2 linked regions of the Anolis sagrei genome follow. The protein of the gene in region 2 interacts with the protein of the main gene of each other region in a biochemical or structural test. Links are inferred from orthologs where the notes say so. Each region holds a gene or a part of one and is shown on either strand. Other genes may lie near its edges.

What was found.
Region 1: the proteins of RUFY1 (region 2) and RAB4A form a complex in vitro, tested with the Homo sapiens proteins (2 studies listed by BioGRID). The link is inferred for Anolis sagrei from reciprocal best matches to the Homo sapiens genes RUFY1 and RAB4A.

Annotation. Positions count from the first base shown.
Region 1 is NC_090021.1:61,133,377-61,144,227, reverse strand, and holds the start of RAB4A (ras-related protein Rab-4A), read right to left. Parts: upstream 5,272-10,851; 5' UTR 5,067-5,271; coding exon 5,036-5,066; intron 1-5,035. UniProt on the Homo sapiens protein: The small GTPases Rab are key regulators of intracellular membrane trafficking, from the formation of transport vesicles to their fusion with membranes.
Region 2 is NC_090022.1:86,946,037-86,956,719, forward strand, and holds the start of RUFY1 (RUN and FYVE domain-containing protein 1), read right to left. Parts: upstream 5,174-10,683; 5' UTR 5,133-5,173; coding exon 4,874-5,132; intron 1-4,873. UniProt on the Homo sapiens protein: Activating adapter involved in cargo sorting from early/recycling endosomes. Regulates retrieval of proteins from endosomes to the trans-Golgi network through interaction with the dynein-dynactin complex.

The DNA of each region.
Region 1 (10,851 bases), on a different chromosome or scaffold from region 2:
GATCTAGAACGCCAGAAAACGTGGAAGCAGGACAAGCATCCACTAGTAATCACCAAGGCATGTCATGGTACTGGGGGGCTGTCTCTGAAGAGTGCTCAGAAATTTCAGCTGGTCCAAAGAACTGCAGCCTGATTGCTCACTGGGGCTGGCTACAGGAACAACCCTCGTTGCAGCAGCTCCACTGGCTGCCAGTTAGCTACCAGGTACAATTCAAACTGCTGGTTATGACCTTTAGAGCCATTGATGGTTCAGGTCCATGTTATTTGGCCAACTGCATCCCCTTTTATGAACCTGCCTGAGCCCTGAGATCTTCACGAGAGGTCCTTTTCTCATTTCCACCTGCATCCCAAGCTCAGTTGGTGAGAACGGATTTTAATTGATTTTTTACTGCTGTTTGTATTTAATTCTGTTTTAATTTTTGTATATTTGTATCTTTCAAATTATGTGCTAATGCTTTTATGTCAAGCCGCTTTGAGTCCCCTTTGGGGAGATAAAGTGGGGTATAAATAAATATAATAACAATAACAATAATAATAAATGTAAGGAATAGAAGAATAATGTGCTGTGGTAGATCTAACTGCACATAGAATTTGCTATTTGGTACCCTCGTCCCCCCACACCAGAGGTTGCAATCTTTTGGATATGACAATTTTTCACTCCATAAGTAGTAAAATCCTTCAATTCCAAAACTTCTCAATTTTAATAGCAATTTGTTTTTTGGTTACAAGAACTAGATGTACTAAAATTAATACAGAAGGCCAGACTGTGTTATAAAAATCTATTTTCCTTGAAGAATTACATACTGAACCTAAAATATTCCTAAGGATATAGCATGTCTATTCTGCTGCAGCCATATGACTGAGATACTATCCCCCTACCAAGGGAAGTACATATAGTTTACAAACCTGTCAATTATTCATGTCTGAAAGTTGCTGAAATAATGGACATGTTTGTAAACAAGACTATCTTATTTGAGTGCAGGGCAATTATATCAGTCTCCTTGCATATTCTGCCAACACAGAACTTTACAAAATAGAAAAATATCATGTGTTACAATGTGCCACAAATTCACATGAATTTTACAGTGGCTTCAAAGTAGTCCTTATGTTCAAAATCACTGTGGGAAAAGTGATTTATATATTTTACTGTTTGGATAGTGAAGCGAAAGGAATTCTTACGCCTGTTATTTCTTCAGCTGTTTAAATGATTCAACTTTGCTCCCAGCTTCTTTTTTACAGAAGAAAACAAACAAAAACAAAGCTTTGAAAGGCACTTCATTATAAGATGTATTCTCTTTCTTCCCTACCAACAAAGAACCCTTGAGCTGCAAGATTCTGTTGAGCTGTCTGGTTTCTCACCCTAGAGAAGCTAGTTGTTACTAGGAATAACTAAAAAAGGAAAACGCAGCTCAGACCACCAAACAGAACTATTATCACAGCCAGTCTGGAAACATTAGGAAACTTGTCTGGAAGACGGAACCTAGCAACACAGAGATGAATGTTATAAGATGCCTGTTGTAAAACTTTACTATAAAATGATGCTAGTAATGCAATAATTTAGCATTAACATTAATTCACTAAATAATGTTACTTCACTAGTGGGTTCTCCCTCCAAAAAACAGACGAAATAGAATTAATAAAAAAACAACTGTCTGTTGTCTACAATGGGGTTGCTGTCAGTTTTCTACAATGAGTATGAAATAGAGGGGATTATAAAATTAAACTATTTAAACAGTAATAAGGGGATCTCTATTCCTTTGACTGTACAGCATACAGGCACTTTTTTAGTTCTTCAGACCCAATTTATGCAAAACAGTTAACTTGGTTTAGAAATAATAAGTGGAAAGATTTTCTAAACCATTTAACAGATGCAAAGTATCATTGTTTTTAGCAAGAGATTCCTGAAAAAGTGAAAGTTGATAATGCTGTGTACCAAGAAGAAAATTAGAACTATTAACAATTTGGTAATGTAAATAGTTAGAAATATAAAGATACTGGGCACTTCCAGTAATATTAACCCTTTGAAGAAACACTACTTATACACATCCAACATTTTTCATTAAATATTATCTTTTTAAACTCTGAAACAAGCAGATAGTAACACTTGTTTCTCAAAATGCCCACACCTCCAAGCCCACAAAGAGGAAATTCCCATCTCAAGTATAGCTTCCCACAAAGAAGAGCCAGTTACCTTTTTAACAGCTGCAACCATTCGCCTCTACACTCTCTGACATTATGGATCACTTGCTAGTCTGATATAGATTGTAGTAGCAGCACTATCACTATACTATACATATGTGGTATAACATATGTGGTGCCTTGGACTGTAAGAAGATCAAACCAGTCCATACTCCAGGAAATAATGCCCAACTGCTCACTGGAGGGAAGAATATTAGAGGCAAAGATGAAGTACTCTGGCCACATAATGAAAAGTCAGGAAAGCTTGGGGAAGATGCTAAAGAAAATGGAAGGAAAAAGGAAGATCAAGGGCAAGATGGATGGATGTTATCCTTGTAGTGACTGGCTTGACCTTGAAGAAACTGGGGGTGGCAACGGCTGACAGGGAGCTGGGCTGGTCTACGAGGTCATGAAGAATCAGAAGTGACTGAATGAATAAACAACTACTAAGCTCCCTTCCCTCATATTTGTTTTGAAAGTATTCTTGAACCAGAAAACAAGGATGAGAAATACTGAGATTTATTATGGGTCTGGCCCACCATGTATGGATGATATAAAAACTTCTGAAATAATATGTATTATGCAGTCCTTTAAGGATCTACATAAACTAAAGGCACGTTGTCCTGTGAGATCTTCGAAGCTAAGTAGGGAAAGAGAAAGACCACATTACTGATAAGCTTGATTTAATGAAGGATGCCATAGGACCCAACTAATCTAAAAGCACTAGTCTATCTGATCTTGGAAGCTAAGCAGGATCAGCTTGGATAGTACTTGGATGGGAGACTGGCATCAAAACTCTGGCACTGTTATCTGTTATTTCAGAAAAAGGGACTGGCAAAACCACTTCTGAGCACTCCTTGCCCCAAAGAAAGCCCTATGAATTTGATGGGTTCACCGTAAGTTAGCAGGTGAACTGAATGTATACACAGATACACAAGCCCTTAAGGCAGGGGTCCTCAAACTAAGGCCAGGGGGCCAGATACGGCCCTCCAAGGTCATCTACCCGGCCCTCGCTCAGGGTCAACCTAAATCTGAAACGACTTGAAAGCACACAATAACAACAATAACAATACTATCTCATTAGGCAAAAGCAGGCCCACACTTCCCATTAAAGTACTAATAGGTTTATATTTGTTAAAATTGTTCTTAATTTTAATTATTGTATTGTTTTAAGTGAGGTTTTTTTTTTTTTGCACTACAAATAAGATATGTGCAGTGTGCATAGGAATTCATGTTGGGTTTTTTTTCAAATCATAATCCGGCCCTCCAATAGTGTGAGGAACTGTGACCTGGCCCTCTGTTAAAAAAGTTTGAGGACCCCTGCCTTAAGGGCTCTGTGCTTCACAGGAAAAGCAATTCTCATGTACTCCTTCTTCAAGCAACAACCCAATGCACATCACTCCTACTTGCTCTTTTCCCACTCCTGGTCCAGTAGGGGGAAAAAAGCAGCCCTTAAAAAAGAGCACAGAAATAAAGATATGGAAAAGAACAGGGAGCAATATGCAAGGTCCTCTTAGGAGGAAGCAATCTTGCACGACACATCATGCACCCTCTTTTTTGTTGAGAATGTGGATTTGCAGTAAAATAAAACAAAATCAACAAAAGTGCAATACTCTTATTGGCCAACCATAACACACAAAATACCTCATGCAGACTTTTAGTGGCTCCATTGGCAAGATTGTTTATAAAGTATTGAAAAGTGATGGTGTTTCAGGCATGGGCAAACTTCAGCCCTCCAGATGTTTTGGACTCCCAACTCCTACTGGTTGTTAGGAATTGTGTGAGTTGAAGTCCAAAACACCTGGAGGGCCAATGTTTTCCCATGCCTGGTATTGAATCATGGGCCTCATCACTGTCATGAAACTTCCAGATTACCTGCTTTGAACTGGATTATATAGTGGAGCCTTGGTGGAGCAATGGGTTAAACTGCGAGATGGGATGGGTTCCTGCCTGTCAGCTCCAGCTTCCCATGTGGGGACATGAGAGAAGCCTCCCACAGGATAATAACACATCCAGGCATCCTCTGGGCACCAGAAGTGACTTGTGGTTTCTCAGGTCGCTTCTGACATGATTTTAAAAAACTGGATTATATCAGTCTACACTGCCATATGATCCAGTTTTTTAAAATCATGTCAGAAGCGACCTGAGAAACCGCAAGTCGCTTCTGGTGCCCTGAGGATGCCTGGATGTGTTATTATCCTGTGGGAGGCTTCTCTCATGTCCCCACATGGGAAGCTGGAGCTGACAGGTGGGAACTCATAATCTGGATTACATAAAGAATCATTTAATTGGATGAGATCTCATGGATCATCCAGTCCAACCCCTTGCCAAGAAGTAGGAAAATTGCATTCAAAGCATTCCCGACAGATGGCCATCCAGCCTTTGCTTAAAAGCCTCAAAAGGAGGAGCCTCCACCACAGTGTTGATGGGCCCACGGGCCTGCATTTTGTACCAGATGATGTTCAGTTGGGTTGGAGCAGGCCTGGGCAAACGTGGGCCCTCCGGGTGTTTTGGACTTCAACTCCCACCATTCCTAACAGCCTCAGGCCCTCTCCTTTCCCCCCTCAGCCAACGAAGCCGTTTGGTGCGTTTTAGGTCACCATGAAGGGCCTCGCTCTGTTGTGGCTTTCATGCTGTTTTGCGTGAGGGCGAAAGATGTGTCATGGCCTTTGTAAGGTAAAGGTACCTATTCCCACCACAGGTCCAGGGATGTGGGAAAGGTTGGTCACTATTGGCGAAGAGAGAAAGGACTGGGCTCCTGGGCCACTGAGAGGGATAGACATTCATTCGCCAGCCCTGCTTCCCTCCCTCAGAAGAGGCCAAGGCCAGCCCCTCCTCTCCTCTCTCCCCTTCCCTACCGTAAGTCTCGGACATGGCTGTCTGCGACATCTTGGGCGCGAGGAGGAGGCCGCTGGGGTTCGCAGGGCCTTCGGGCGCCTCAGCCGCGGCCCCAGGGCACCCCGAGAAGCCTCCCGCTCCGAGCGCGAGGGGAGGGAGGGAGGGAGGGAGAGAGGGAGGGAGCTTGGCAAGGAGGAGCCCAAGAGCGCCTCCAGCAGCAGCGCGTGAAGGGGCCGCTCTACGCCTGCGCACGGAGCTCCTCGCGCTTGGCCCCGCCCCAGGCCTCCCTTGGTGCGCAGGCGCGCCGGGCCGCCAACGGCTCTTTCTCCCTCTCACCAAAACAAAACGCACGTGCGCGCCGGTTTTGAAACCCGAAGTGCGTTCCTCCTCCTGCCCCCGCCCCCCCTGCTGGAAAGGGGCGGGGCTGCGGGGAGGGAGTGGGCCCCGCACCACGTGACCGCTCGTGCCCCCGCTGCAGTGGAAGCAGAGTTGGAAGAAACCATAGAAGCTGCAAGTCGCGTCTAGTATGAGAGAATTGGCTGTCTGCAAGGATGTTGCCCAGGGGATGTACGGATGTTTAGATGATTTACCATCTTTGTGGGAGGCTTCTCTCATGTCCCCACATGGGGAGCTGGAGCTGACAGAGGGAGCTTATCCGTGCTCTTCCCTGAATTCAAACCTCCAACCTGTCGGTCTTCAGTCCTGCCAGCACAAGGGTTTAACCCATTGCACAACCCTAGCCATGTCAGTTAAAGTGGTGTGACGTTAGACTATAGATGCGTCTGAGGAGGCAAACGATTAGATGCCCTTGGGAAACTAGAAATCCCACATTATCATTGTAGTGGCTCAATGGGTTAAACCCTTGGGTTGGCAGGACTGATGACCAATAGGTCAGAGGTTCAAATCCAGGGAGAGCAGGTAGAGCTCCATCTGTCAGTTCCAGCTCCTCATGTGGGGACATGAGAGAAGCTTTTCACAAGGATGGTAAACATCAAACATCTGGGTGTCCCCTGGATAACGTCCTTGCAGATGGCCAATTCTCTCACACCAGAAGCGACTTGCAGTTTCTCAAATCATTCCTGACATTAAAAAAATACGTGAAGATGTCACAGGTTGTAGATCAAAATTATTGGGACATCTCCAAACATTGCGGAGCACCCAGCATAGCCAATATAGGAATGCTGAGGGCTGCGGTCCCAACTGCTTCTGAAGGCTGCACTGATTCTTTTAAAATGCAGCACATCCTCTTTTCGTCCTTTGTTTCCTGTATCTGTTCATCCTCTTTGTATTTTTATATTATTGATTGCCATGTCTTCTGCTTTCACCCTAAGCAACCACAGCACAGCTGGCAACAGAAGCAAGTCCTACACATATATTAATATTTACATAGACCTTTGTATGGAAATTGCTGCCAAAGGCAAGGACTACTTCAAGATATTTACAAATACTGAACACCTGGGGTGAAAATTGCAAATGGTTAGGAGTAATACCTAATATAGCACATTTTTTTACAATGTTATTCGCAGTTTAATTAAATATTTAATATTTTTGCCGTATTGATGTCAAGCCAAGACATCCCTCACCTCAGCAAAAGTCTTCATTTGGACCATGGCAGGAGATTCAAACATCACCAACTGAACCCCTGAGTCCCGATGGCTTGCTGGAGGAAGACTTGCAACAGCTGCCAGCTCCAGAGGATTCACTGCCTTCATACTCGAAAAACCCAGGCAATAGGCAATAAAGGATTGCTTATGTGTGTTTGTTGTAATATTTTGTGTTTTATAATTTCATAAAATACCTTTGGATCCATGAAGCCACCACCATGACATTGGTGACCTTTCACTGGCACGCCTTGACCTGGGATTCCCCTTGTGTCTCCCTGGTCTCCACCTCAACAAAGGACTCAAGCACCCATCATCTTCTGAATCAATCCATCTCTATTGATTCCAGACTTCACAAAGGATGACCGGACCCTGAATTGGGCTAACCTTTTGTGTGGCCATAAGGACTTGCGATCACCTGGCACCCTTCCTGAAATTTGGAAGGTTGCTGTAAGTTTTTTGGGCTATATGGCCATGTTCCAGAAGCATTCTCTCCTGATGTTTCGACAACACATTTGGAAGGTTCTGCCACTGTTTTTCCTGAATGCCATTTCCCCGTAATGGATTCTTTAATCCCATCATTCGGGACAGCATATTTGTAAGGTCAGAAATGGGCATGGGCACCAGACCCACCTGATGGGTTATTCACTGGGTAATCACAAAGACAATAATCCTCAGGGAACAGATAGCCCTGCCTTGTTAGTCCCCAAGTTGAGACACTAACCCATTCATAAAATTATATTCTCCACATTTTTCAAAATCCATTTATCATAGGGACAGAAAGTGAGGTGAAATCTTCTGAACAGGGGCACAGACAGTAAAAATCAACCCCAAAATCTGGGTCACATCCACAGGGCAATGTAATTATTGTATATCTTACTTGACTCTTATTAAAATACTAGTCCTTTCTGAGTAGAGGGGCAAAAGGCAAGAGCGTGGCCCATTCTGGAGGAACCTAAAACAAGCACTAACCCCTTTAATCTTCTGGGCCTTTTGAATGCCAGAGTTGTAAAATGTTAGCCAAGGTGGCACTTTCCTCATTTCACAGAATGACCCACGACTTATTCACTAGTCATCTCAAAATCTATAATTTTGGCCCCGAAATCTGTCCACAGCTTATACATGTATTCAACTTATACTTCAGCATACATGGTACTCCCTTCTTACCAATTCCAACTAGTTCTTTGCTTCCTAACAAATATTACTTCCAGACCATATTCTGGGCACAGATATAGCTATAGGCATTGTCAGTGTCTACCAAAAAGCCATGACTTTTTGTATGGAGTCGAGCATAAAATAAAAATTGCAACTGTAAGAGGAGTATGAAAATATTAAATGTGGGGCAGCACAAGAAAATAGTTCAGTAGGACAGAGAATTCAAAGAGCGACTGCAGGAGAGAGCTGTTGCCATTGTGTCCTACTTGTAGACTGCATTAGCTGTTGCAGATAAAGATGTTTAAGAGCTTCCTGGTTTAACCTAGTGCTGTATAGAGCACTGCTTCTTAAACTGTCAGTCCAACCCCAAATGGGGTCCCCATGATTCATTGTTGTCAAAAGGGAAAGGTTTCTGAATGCCACACTTTTGCACCAATCTTAACAAAACCATGCAGTGTTTGTAGTGGACTTTGAAGCAAATGCTTCAGCTGTATGTCACAAAAAGAAAAATCGGCCTGTTTAGCAAGCCTTGAAAATTCTGATTTATTATCATCAGTGTTTGATTTTATACCTATCTTATATATACCTATATTCCTGGAGCATATAAAATAATTTGGGTGGAAAGAGGTCACGAGAAGCAAAACTTTAAGAAGTCCTGGCATGGAGCACCACCACTATACTTTTATTTTGGTGAAATTCAAACAACTAAATGGATAGGCTAAAACATTTTTTTTTGGCAGAGATTATTCCACAGCAAAGTGCTACTATCTGTGTTCCATATTTCTTCAAGAAATACCTCTGATCTGAGAGCTGACCTTTTTCTAGTATGAAATCATATGGAGGATATAGAATTGTTTCTTCTTGTGTATTACAATTACAGTAGAGTCTCTGTTATCCAACCTTCTTTCATCCAACATTCTGTATCATCCAACGTAGTCTCCCTCCTGCCTGGGTCCGCAGCTGTTTCAATACATTGAGATGTTTTAATGCTAAATTTGTAAATACAGTAATTACTACATAATGTTACCGTGTATTGAACTGTTTTCTCTGTCTGTTTGTTGTAAGACATGATGTTTTGGTGTTTAATTTGTAAAATCATAACGCAATTTGACATTTAATAGGTTTTTCCTTAATCTCTCCTTATTATCCAACATTTTCTCTTATCCAACTTTCTGCCAGTCCGTTTATGTTGGATAAGCGAGACTCTACTGTACCACAATCACATAGATAACTCTATTCACAAATAGGTTATTTACAAATGTATTCATTTCATACATGCCTTGCCTTGGAAGTAAAAAGTACATCAAAGACACCTTGACAATACAGCTAACAATAAGTATTGATTAAAATCATAACATTAAAATAGAACATTGAAAGACATAGCCAGTACCTATTCCATTGAACTCCTTCAACAGCAAACTAGTTTATATGCCAAAGGCATGCTTGAATAAAAAGTCAGTCTCTTGTTTGCAGAAGGAAATTCATTTTCTATCAGCAAGTTCCAGAAATTGGGAGCAGCCGCCAAGAAAGCCTGCTCTTATGTCCTCTTATTCTTGCCATAGTAAGTCTTAAGACATAGTCTGCTCTGTAAGGGGTTGCTCTCTCTCTGAAAGATTTATTTGTTTATCGTGTCATCAGCAACCATACCATTGTATTACAATTCTAACAGAACAAAACAAACACACAGATTAAAAAAAACAAAAAAACACACACACACAGATTTTGCAAACTTGGTAGTTGGTTAAATGTTCTTTGGCCAGTATCTGGCCACTTGGAGTGCCTCTGGTGTTGCTGCAAGAAGGTCCTCCATTGTGCATGTGGCAGGGCTCAGGGTGCATTGCAGCAGGTGGTCTGTGGCTTGTTCTTCTCCGCACTCGCATGCCGTGGATTCCACCCTGTAGCCCCATTTCTTAAGATTGGTTCTGCATCTCGTGGTGCCAGAGCGCAGTCTGTTCAGCGCCTTCCAAGTCGCCCAGTCTTCTGTGTGCCCAGGGGGACATGAGAGAAGCCTCCTCGCAGGATTGCAAGACATCCGGGCGTCCCCTGGGCAATGTCTTCGTAGACGGCTGATTCTCTCGATCCAGAAGCAACCAGAGACGACTTGCAGCATGCCTCTGAAAGATCAGGTCCATAGTTTGGAGGTGCATTTTTGAGCCAGATTCAAGTTGCATTATATGGTCTCTGTAGATGTATCTTTAGGCTGTAGATCACAACCATGTACCATTTTACAAAGACCTTAGACACTGATGCTATAAACTAATAAGTATTTTTTGAATTTGTAGCTGTGTATGTTTTTAGCTTATTGTAAAATGCTTTGAGTCCCAAAGTTAAAAAAAAAGAATAATTATTTAAGAGTACAGATTGTAATCATGTATTCTTTTACACAAATCTTAGAAACTGATGCTATAAATCAGTGGTTCCCAGTCTTATGTCCTCCAGGTGTTTTGGATTTCAGCTCACAGAAATCCTAGCCAGTTTATCAGCTGTTAGGAGTTATGGGAGCTGAAGTCCAAAATATCTGGAAGACTAAAGGTTGGAAACCATTACTATAAATTAATTACTATTCCCCCCACTTTCTGATTCCCACTGTTAGCAGTAGGGAAACAGAAGTCTCTGTTGTTTGAGAGGTGAAAACCTCCTCCACTGCTTAGTGATTCCCCACTGAGATGCTATTATTAGTGTTGAGATTCTTGCAGGTTATGGTGGAGTGGGAATGGTGAAAATCTCTCCCACTTCTCTAAGGTATAATCTGAGTCTCCTGTCCTGATGCTGCTCATGGCATTGCCAGAGGAGTTGTCTTTTGTCTGGAGTTCAATTCATTCTGGCTGAATTACATTTGGGAGAGGGATTAGTCCTTACTTTGTGGTCCATATTTCATCCCACAACTGCTGCTTGTCCACATGTGGATCAGAAAATTAAAAGTTTAGGTCCTTGGAGGACTGTATGACAATCTTGACCTCTTTCCACTTTTGTGAAATATTCTAGAATTTGTAGATCACCCCCTTCTCTTTGGTTCAGTTGAATCCATCTGCCCTTGAATGTTATCTATATTTTTTCCTGTTCACAAGACCTTCAGGCTT
Region 2 (10,683 bases):
TGCTGTTTGTACAGTGTCCCATTCTTGGTTTAAATTTCCCTTTGATTTCTCAGACCTTGTGGCAGAGGTCTCTTGTCCTTCCCTTTTTTGTCATTGTCTATTTTTCTGCATTGATATTAGTTCTCCTTGTCCCTGTGCCCAAGTCATACAATAGTTGCATTTAGGGTTCTGACTCTATTTATGTCCCCTTTTATGCTTCTCATCTGCCCTTAACTGGTTTTATGCATCATCAGTTGTGGCTTCTCTTTCGTTTGTTCAGAGAGTTTCTTCTTCTTAAGATTTTGATTTCCTGAGTAAAATGCTGTGTAATTGTCTGACCCAAAATGTGCCATTACTCTGCATATCATCATCATCATACTATTTATTTATACCCTGCCTTTCTCCTCTTGGGGACTCAAGGCAATTAAAACTCCACACTAGACAAGTTTAAAAGGTGCAATACAAAAGTTATAAAACAATTAAATAGTAACATGTGGTGAAAACAGAATTAAAATACAGTAAATAAACTAAAATTGCCTTTAGCTGGTTCAGTTCATGTACAGTTCATGTTTATACATTCCATTTCTTGTTTTACTGTGGTTATCTTCCCTCATTTTCTCATTCTGTATTCCTATAACATGTGCTGTGCAGCTTTAGACTTTCCTTTCAACTCAGAGCATGTCAACGGCTGAATGTCCTTTCAACTTGAGTCTAGTTGCATCATTAGACACAGCACTACTCATAGTTGTCTTCCAAGGGCTTGTTGAGTGCCACTCAACCTGGGAATTTCATCTTCTGGCACTAACTCTTGTTTCATTTTCAAATGTCTCATCATAGGGTTGATGAATTTATTATGCCCTCTTTCCTGCATTACTAATAGGTGTTAGCTATGATGCCAATGAGAGATTCTCTTCCAGGATTACTTTCCACTTCTGCTACTGCCCAGTAGCTATTTAGTCTGGCTCCTCAGGAAAAGAAACATTACTAGCAGCACTCCTGCCCTCAGTATAGCCTCTTACCCCACAGGTGTATGCAAACTCATCACTGTGGAACAATGGTGTTAAGAATTACATTGCCATATTATCCTTGTTTACCCAAAGGCAAACTCTATAGAGTTCAATGCAATTCAATCCCAGATAAGTAGATCTTCAATTGCAACCTTAATTAGAGACTCTATTTGGAAGAGGAGAGTAAAGAGCTTGTAAAACTACCATCTCCCATGATTCCATAGCATTGAGTGATGGCAGTTAAAGTGGTGTCAAACTTCATTAATTACATGGTGTAAATGCACCATAAAATGCTAATCTAGTTTCCCCCCACAATTTGGGCACTGATGGAACTGGAAGAAAAGATACCTGGCTCTATGGAGTCTATGAAGGACCCATTCAATGGTTACATTAGTTAAGTTTACAAGTATTGTAATTTGCCAACCTATATTTCCTAGAAGTTGGCAAAACAGAGCCTTCTCAGTGTCACCTTCCCCCCCCCCCCCCCGCCCCCCGGCTTTGGAATGCCCTCCCTAGGAAGATAAGGCCGGCCTCAACACTGTCCTCCTTCCATAGGCAGGCATGTAGCCGGGGGGGGGGGGTCCACGAGAAGGTCTTACTCATGGTGGTCCACGAGAAGGTCTTACTGGTACATTATTTAAACTTTTATGTTTATTCATATGATCTGATCACCATGTTCCCATATGTATGGGGGTATTGGGGTAACGATACAAAAGATTTGCTAGGGTAGACCCTCTTTCACTCAGACTCAGCTCCTCCTCCCCCTGAATCAAACTCAGCTCCCCCTGAATCAAAATCCTGGCTACGGGCCTGTCCATAGGGATTGGAAGACTTGGATGTTTAAACAAACCTTTGAGAATGTCTAGCCCCAATGGTCCACAATTAATGACACGGCACTGCACTCTCATCCCATTCCCTTGTCTTGTTTATAGTTTGGCCACGTCTTATGGCAGCTGTCACCATAGGTTATTGGGTATTGTTCTGAATTTTAAATTTTTGTTTTTATGTGCTGTTGGTTTTACTTTTTTGTATTGTACTGGATGTTTATTTTATGCATTGTTTTTAGGCATTTTGTGACATATGTAAGCCGTCCCATGTCTTTTCGGGGAGATGGAGGTGGGGTACAAAAATAAAGTTATTAAAACAGGATTATTATACATGGAGATGAATGAAGTCAGACTGAACATTAATCTAAAAGAAACCAGGGTAAGAAGAGGATAATTTTATTTACTTGACTGTTATTGTGCAAAACTCAATCATTGTGAAAACACAGATGTAAATCTAACGTTTTCATATATTTTTGAAAAATTGAGTACAAAATTCCTTAAGATTCTATATGCAAATTTTTTAAAAACCATAAGAAGAAAAATAGTCTTGTCATACATTTACAACAAAGCAATTTATTTCATCACACAATTTTTCTTGCATGGAAGAGATGGATTTTAATCTAAGACAGTTTATGATGAAATAAGGTGGTTAGTTTTCAAAGTGTCACATAACTACTTGTTTGTTCCTTTTTTCTTCCCTGTTATGCTTTTACAGAGAAGGCCCCGACTTTAGGCAAAGTCAGAAAACTGCCTCTGTGGCAAATGCTGGAAGAAAGAAGTGGTAGCTCCACATAACTATTTCTTTTGGACTTTTGAACTTTCTTGGGAGGATGGGATGCTCATGCCACCCCCATCTGCACACTCTAGTTTGTTATTTTCTGGTGTTATGGGAGCAGCCACCCCATGACTAGTACTGCAGTAAAATTATACAGCCAATCTGCCAGGCATGAAATGGAAGTTAGGGTGGAGTAGCCTGCCTTTTCTGTCATAAGATTAAAATGTCATGGACCACCCTTCTTAGGACAGCTTTTCTAGTCTTATGCAAACCAGTAGATCACAATCTAACACGCACAAGCATCATTTACAGTTAGGTGGACTTCAAAAAGTTTTCCTAAGTTTGCTGAATTACAGCAATTATGTCTCCTTTTCATGAATTGTTGATTCGAAGGAAGCAATGCAGCTGAGCTTCCAAGAATCACCAAGGCCAGACACGTGATCCTAGAAGTGGAACGGATGAGAAGGCTCAAGGCATAGTTCCTGCATTAATACACATTAGTCTCAGAAGTCATTCATGTTTCAGAAAGATATAATAGCAACCATGGGTGCAACTGTATTCTAGAATTAATGCAGCAACACTTGAACTGCCATGGCTCCATGCTGTAGAACCATGGGATTTGTAGTTTGGTGAGGCAGCAGCACTCTTTGCCAGAGAAGGCTAAAGACATTGTGGAATGACAAGCATTGAGCCATAGCAGTTAAAGTGGTGTCAATCTGCATTCATTCTAGAGTGTATTATTTATTTAGTTAGTTACTATATTTATATACCGTCCCTCTCAGCTTGCAGGCGACTCGGGGCAGTTCACAGTTGGTGCCGAGACCATAAAATACAATTTCAATACAATAAAAATAATCGGATAATAAAACCATAACAAAATCAATAAAAACATGAACATTAGGGTCTCCTATTAAAAACATTGTCTAATCACATTGTTCAACCATTCCATTTTCCTATGTGTATTTGGAAATGCCTGCTCAAAGAGCCAAGTTTTGATTCTCTTTTGAAATGTTAAAAGGGAGGGGGCTGATCTGATATCCTTAGGGAGGGCGTTCCATAGTCGAGGTGCCACCACTGAGAAGGCCCTGCCTCTCTTTCCTGCCAACCATGCTTGTGATGAAGGCGGGACCAAGAGCAGGGCCTTTCCAGACAATCTTAAAGTCCTGGAGCAGTGGTTCTCAACCCGGGGTCCCCTGATGTTTTGGCCTTCAACCCCCAGAAATCTTAACAGCTGGTAAACTGGCTGGGATTTCTGGGAGTTGTAGGCCAAAACACCTGGGAACCCACAGGTTGAGAACCACTGTCCTGGAGGGTTCATAAGGGGAAATGAATTCGGACAGGTAAGTGTAGATAGACCCTTTGTCTGGAGGTGAACCCAATATCAGTAAACAACAAATGCTTGGATTATTCCATGATGAAGCCTAGTTTACATTAAGATTGCTTAGACTTTATTTACTTCTGCTCCAAGTCTCATAACAAAAGCGACACCTCAGGACACATCTACACTGTAGAACGAATGCAGATTGACACCACTTTAACTGCTATGGCTCAATGCATGTCATTTCACAACATCTTTAGCCTTCTCTGGCAAAGGGTGCCAGATAAATTGACAAGAGATTGACACTACTTTAGCTGCCATGGCTCAATGCTATGTAAACATGGGATGTATAGTTTTATAAGGACTTTAGGCGCCTCTTCCAAAAAGTGCTGACGCCTCACCAAACTACAACTCCCTGTTTTTTTGGGTTTTTTTTAAGCACTGAGCTATGTCAGGTAAAGTTGGGCCAAACTGTATTACTCCTGCAGTGTAGATGCAACATCAAAGGACACCTGTTGAGCCCCTTTTCATGGGACAAAGACTTTATAGAGTGGCACTGAAAGGGTGCATCTACGCTAGGTATGGGCAAACTTCGGCCCTCCAGGTGTTTTGGACTTCAACTCCCACAATTCCTGAATTGTGGGAGTTGAAGTCCAAAACACCTGGAGGGCCGAAGTTTGCCCATGCCTGTTCCACACAGTAGAAATAACAGTTTTACCCACTGTCACTGCTGTGGCACAGTACTATGAAACCTTGGGATTTCTAGTTTGGCGAGGAAACCAGGAAAAGCGACAACTCCCATGATCCAACGGCATTGGGTAGTTGAAGTGGGGTCAAACCGCATTACTTCTGCAGTGCAGACGCAGTCAAACTTTTCCTCCCAGACGTGCAAAGTAAGGAACAACTGGCTGGCTGGCTGGCTGAATGACACCCCAGAAAGGAGAAGCAGGAAAAGTAGTAGCCGTACTTTGTTTGGCGGCGCTGTCAGGGCTGACGGGTTTGGGCATGAGTCCTACCAAGGCTGCAGACTTCAAGGCGCTCCCATAGCCGGCCGCCAAGTTTTCCGAGGCCCTCTTGGCCAAAGAGAGGAGGGGCGCCGACCAGGCCGGGCCTTCCACACTCTCCTCCGGGCCGTCGCTTGGGAGCTCGGAAGTGTCGGGCGCCTGGGCCCCGCCGAGGATTTCGGGGCCCCCTCTTGGCTCCGCGGCTCCTTCCCCTTCGGCCATCTTGGCTCGAGGGGGGGGGGGGTGTCACGTGATACGCGCGTCCCAAGAGGGAGCCTCTGCCTCTTGAAGGGTGGATGAAAGAAGGAAGGAATGCAACCTGACGTCACGTGATCTGCCTTGGTTCCATGCTAAGGAATCCTGGGAGTTGTAGTACTTTGGATGGAGGCCCCAGCTCTCTTAGGCAGAGAAGGCTATATAGAGCAGGAGTGGGCAAACTTGGCCCCTCCAGGTGTTTTAGACTTCCACAATTCCTAACAACCGGTTAATTGTCGAAAGTTTTCATGGGCGGAATCACTGGGTTGTTGTGTGTTTTCTGGGCTGTCTGCCCATGTTCCAAAAGCATTCTCTCCTGACATTTCGCCTGCATCTATGGCAGGCATCCTCAGAGGTTGTGAAGTCTGTTGGAAACTAGGCAATTGGGGTTTATATATCTGTGGAATGTACAGGATTGGAGAAATAACTCTTGTCTGCTTGAGGCAAGTGTGAATGCTGCAGTAGGCCACTTTGATTAGCATTTAATGGCCTTGTGACATCAAAGCCTGGCTGACTGCTGAGAAGAGTTCTTTCTCCTACTATGGACATTCCACAGATATATAAATTGCACTTTTCATCCACATCCATGGCAGCAGGCACCCTCAAAATGGCCTATCAGTTTTCAAGGTCTGGCTTCTTACTGCCTGGGGGAATCCTTTTATTCATTAAAATGAACAAAATCTGGCTACCAGTATTTAAAAAGCTCTAAAATATAACAGTAAATAAAGAACAACACTCAAAACGGGAATTCTAGACACAAAACTATCAGGGCCAACTAATAACCTCCCAACAAAGGATCTCTCCCCCCTCCCCCCCCCGTCAGTAAGAAGCCAGACCTTGAAAACTGCTAGGCCATTAAATGCTAATCAAGGTGGCCAATTGAAACATTCACACTTACCTCCAACAGACAAGAGTTCTTTCTCCCACCCTGTACATTCCACAGATATATAAACCCAGTTTTCCTAGTTTCTAACAGACCTCACAACCTCTGAGAATGCCTGCCATAGAGGCAGGTGAAACGACAGGAGAGAATGCTCCTGGAACATGGCCGTACAGCCCGGAAAGCACACAACAACCCTGCTCATGGTGACCTGTTTCATATAATTCTAATTCTAATCCTTTTGCATCTTCCAGGATAATTCTAACCTTTTCTCCTCTTGTCCTGTACCTGAAAAGAGAGCTGAAACTTACTGCAGGATAAAAACTGTGAACCACGAGCTTTCACTGCCATCTAGTGAGTTAATCTAGTCAGTTACCTTGTTTGTTCAAGAGCCTTGCATATAAGGAAAGAAAAAAAAAGAAATGGTATTCACAGTAATATGTGGAAATTGGCTCCCTGGGTGGACAATTAATGGCCAAGCAATGATTCTGCAATTTTAACATTGCAGTGTTTTTCACAAGTTCTCCTATGGATGTGGTCTGCAGTGGAAATATTGGTGGGAAAGGATTCTGCATACCATTGTGGTGGCATCATCTACCTGCGTGGAGGCACCTCCACTACCTAGATTTAAAAAATGAAATTCACAAAAGTCTTGGCTATTTGGTTGTTATGCACTCACATGGTTTCTCAACCTCTAAGGCAGTGGTTCTCAACCTGTGGGTCCCCAGGTGTTTTGGCCTACAACTCCCAGAAATCTCAGCCAGTTTACCAGCTGTTAAGATTTCTGGGGACCCACGGGTTGAGAACCAAAATTAGTCATCTGATTAAATTAGTCATCTGATTAAAAATACAATAATTAAGTAGTTATCTGATTGAGAGCCAGCATGTTGTAATGGTTTCTGTGTTGGGTTATGACTTTGGAGGCCAGGATTTCAAACGCTGCTCCGCCATCGAAACCTACTGGGCGGCCATGGGCAAGTCACTCTCTGAGCCTCAGAAGAGGCAAAAGCAAATCTCCGAACAAATTTTGGCAAAGGAAATCCCATCATTTTCAGGCACAAGAGGAGAAAAAGATCCTGTGGATGACTTTATTGTTATAGAATCGCTTTTGGGGCCCTTCCACATGGCCATATAACCTATAATACCAAGGCAGATAATCCATAATATCTGCTTTGAACTCGGTTATCTGAGTCCACATTGCCATATAACCCAGTTCAAAGCAGATAATGTGGGATTTTATACAGCTGCGTGGAAGGGGCTTTGGCAACCCAACCTATGGCAACCCAAATTAATATGAAGCATGCACTGTATTTTTTTCCAGTTTGATGCTTTATATTCAGATCTGCAATTAATATCAAGGAATTTCATTATATCAGGGAAAGGCAGCTTGTGGCTGATCAGATGTAACTGGACTGCTATTCCCATCAGCCTTAGGCCCCTTCCATACAGCTGAATAAAATCTCACATTATCTGCTAGAACTGGAATATATAGCAATGTGGACTCAGATAACCCGGTTCAAAGCATATATTGTGGGATTTTCTGCATTGATATTCTGGGGTATAGGGCTGTGTGGACGGGCTCTTAGTTAGCATTGACAGTGGGAAGGATAATGGGAATTACAATCCAACAACCCCTAGGGTCATAAGATGCCCTCACCTGACTTACATTCTAGCATAAACAAGAAATTATACTGAGTTTCAGTGTTGAACATAGCTGAGAAACGGGGGAAAATATCTGTTGTTCTCATTACAAGCAGTGGAATTGCCATAGTGGCAAAACGTTGTCCTGTAACTTCCAGATTCCTCCAGCCAGCATTTCTATAGATCCCCCTTTGAAGCAAAAGTTTCTAGCGGAGCCCCATCATTTAACTTATACCACTATCCAATATTTGTGCATTTCATTTTTTTCTTGTCTAAATATAGTACTTTCCTTGTTATCGACATCAAGTTTATTAGTCTTCAGTTGCTTGAGTTTTCTAGGCAACATCCATATTATAGTTTTCTGTACTAATTTATTTGAAATCCAGAAAGCTGAAAAATTAAGGCAACCACCCACATATTTGTTCTATTTCTTTATTCCAATAAAATGACAGTAGCACATTATTTTTGCTAGAACATTTGGCATTTATAGAAAGCCTTATCATGATTCAGAAAGTCAAATGGTCATCTTTGAGTTCTGGTTACCCAGAAACCAAGTTTCTCAATATTTATAAAGCTCTTCCAGATGCAGTATTAAAATTCATTTGGGGTAGCTATTTAATACCATAAAAGGAGATGGTGTATAACTGACTTGGAAACACACCTGCTTCTTCTGGACTTAATAAAAATCAGGATAAAAATATCCTCAAATTAAGGAGAAGGGATATGAGATTTTGAAGAGCTGAAGCGAAAGATTCTGAATCTCTGGTTAGAAGGGAAAAGATTATGCCTGTGCAGAGCTCCTTTCTCAACCATTCAAAGAACAAGGAATTTATTACTTCATAAAGATTTCTACAATTCATATGAAACAAACCTTTTGAAATTAATTTTAAAAACCTTCCTCTGGGATAGCTTGATCTTTTTCAATGAGTGCTTTATGATATAATGTTTAATTAATGTAGTTTGAAATGCAAATGGGTCGGAACATCATTTGGAAGAGATGTATTGAGTTCATAGTGACTAGGATGAGGAACATCCCTGCCCCCTTTTCGCACAACTAGAGTTGGAAATGTTACCTTTTGGGAACTATACCTATAAGTCCCAGTGGTCATACGACATGGGGGATTTTGAGAATTATAGCACCAGTTCCCAGTTCACTTTTCCAAGGTGTTTATCATAGAAGACACTTGTCCCATGCAAAAAGTGCTTTCCCCCTACACGGAAAGATAATATGCTACCTTTTGCACTACTGGTGCAATTTAAGTGTAACAGTGTTGCCTCCTCTAATTGTCCTTTTAGCTTTCTGATGTTGAAGGTAGCTGTGACTCTTCCTTTTCTCATTATTATTACTGGTCAGTGAACTTTATATGTTTGTTTGGCTATGTATGTAAATGCTGTAATCTGCTCTGAGTTCCTTAGGGGAGAAGGGCGAAATATAAATAAAGTGTATTATTATTATTATTATTATTATTATTATTATTATTATAAAATCCAAAGTTGTCCATAAGGGTGTCTGGGATAGGGACACCTGTGCTTTCTGGTGGTCCATGGCACACACAATATTGGTTTCATGCATTATATTATTAAGCATACTACATATGAGATTGACAGGGAAGGCCCTCCTCTCGGTCCCACCACTGCCTCAAGTGCGGTTGGTGGGGACGAGAGAGAGGGCTTTCTCTGTGGTAGCCCCCTGGCTGTGGAATACCCTCCCAAATGAGATTAGATTAGCCCCCACCCTTCATTTTTTCCATTCCAACATGAGTAGGCTGAATGGGTCCATATGAAACACATGTGAATTGACGGCAGTTGGTTTTATCTACTGTTGTTTTAAAATTGTATTGTTTTGATTTTATACTAACATATGTTGACTGGGGATTGTTGTTATAATTTTATGTGACTTGTTTTATACTTTTGTACCATTTTTACCGGTTGTACGTTATATGTGCCCTGGAGTGTTTTGCAAGTTGCCCTGAGTCCCTTTGGGGAGATGGTGGTGGGATATAAATAATTAAATAAATAAATACATTAATTTATTATTATTATTATTATTATTATTATTATTATATAAAATTACTATTGGGATGTGTGTATATGGTAAATATGAAACATAAATGAATTTTGTGTTTAGATTTTGGTCCAAAACACTATAGAAATGCCAAAGAATCATAGAGTTGGAAGAGACCACAAGGTTCATCCAGTCCAACCTCATTCTGCCATGCAGGAATACACAACCAAAGCATCCCCAACAGATGGCCATCCAGCCTCTCCTTGAAAACCTCCAGAGAAGAAGACTCCGCCACACTCCCAGGCAGCATATTTTACTGCTGAATAGATCTGACTGTCAGGACATTTTTCCTGAGGTTTTGGTAGAATCCCATTTCTTGAAATTTGAATCTACTGCTCCGTGGCCTAGTCTATAGAGCAGCAGAAAACAGGCTCACCCCCTCCTCAATATGACACCTTTTCAAATATTTAAACATGGCAATCAGGTCCCTTTTCAGTCTTCTTTTCTCCAAGCTAATCATACCTAGCTCTTCTCAGCGTCTGGCTTCCAAACCATTGATTATTTTGGCTGCCTTTCCCTGCTTTTCAGTATCCCTCTTGAATTGTGGTGTCCAGAACTGAACACGGTATTCCAGGTCAGGTCTGACCAAAGTAGAAAAGAGTGGGGCAATTACTTTCCCTGATCTAGTCACTAAATTCCTATTGATACAGGCTAGAATTGTTTTTTTAGCTACTGCATCGCACTAAAAGATCTCTCATTATGTATAGGTAAAATAATAAAAAATCTGAAATCCAAAACCATTCTTGTTCCAAGCATTTTGTTCAACCAGCACTTTTCTGTAATGTGCTCTCATTGTTAGCTGAGGAACAGACGGAGCAGAGAGCTTCCAGTAGGTGTCACTGTTGCATTTCCCTGATTGTGACTGGACATCTTTAAGGACCAACCACATGGAAGGGTGGCATTGCTGTGTGGCTGCTCTAAAAACCCAAAAG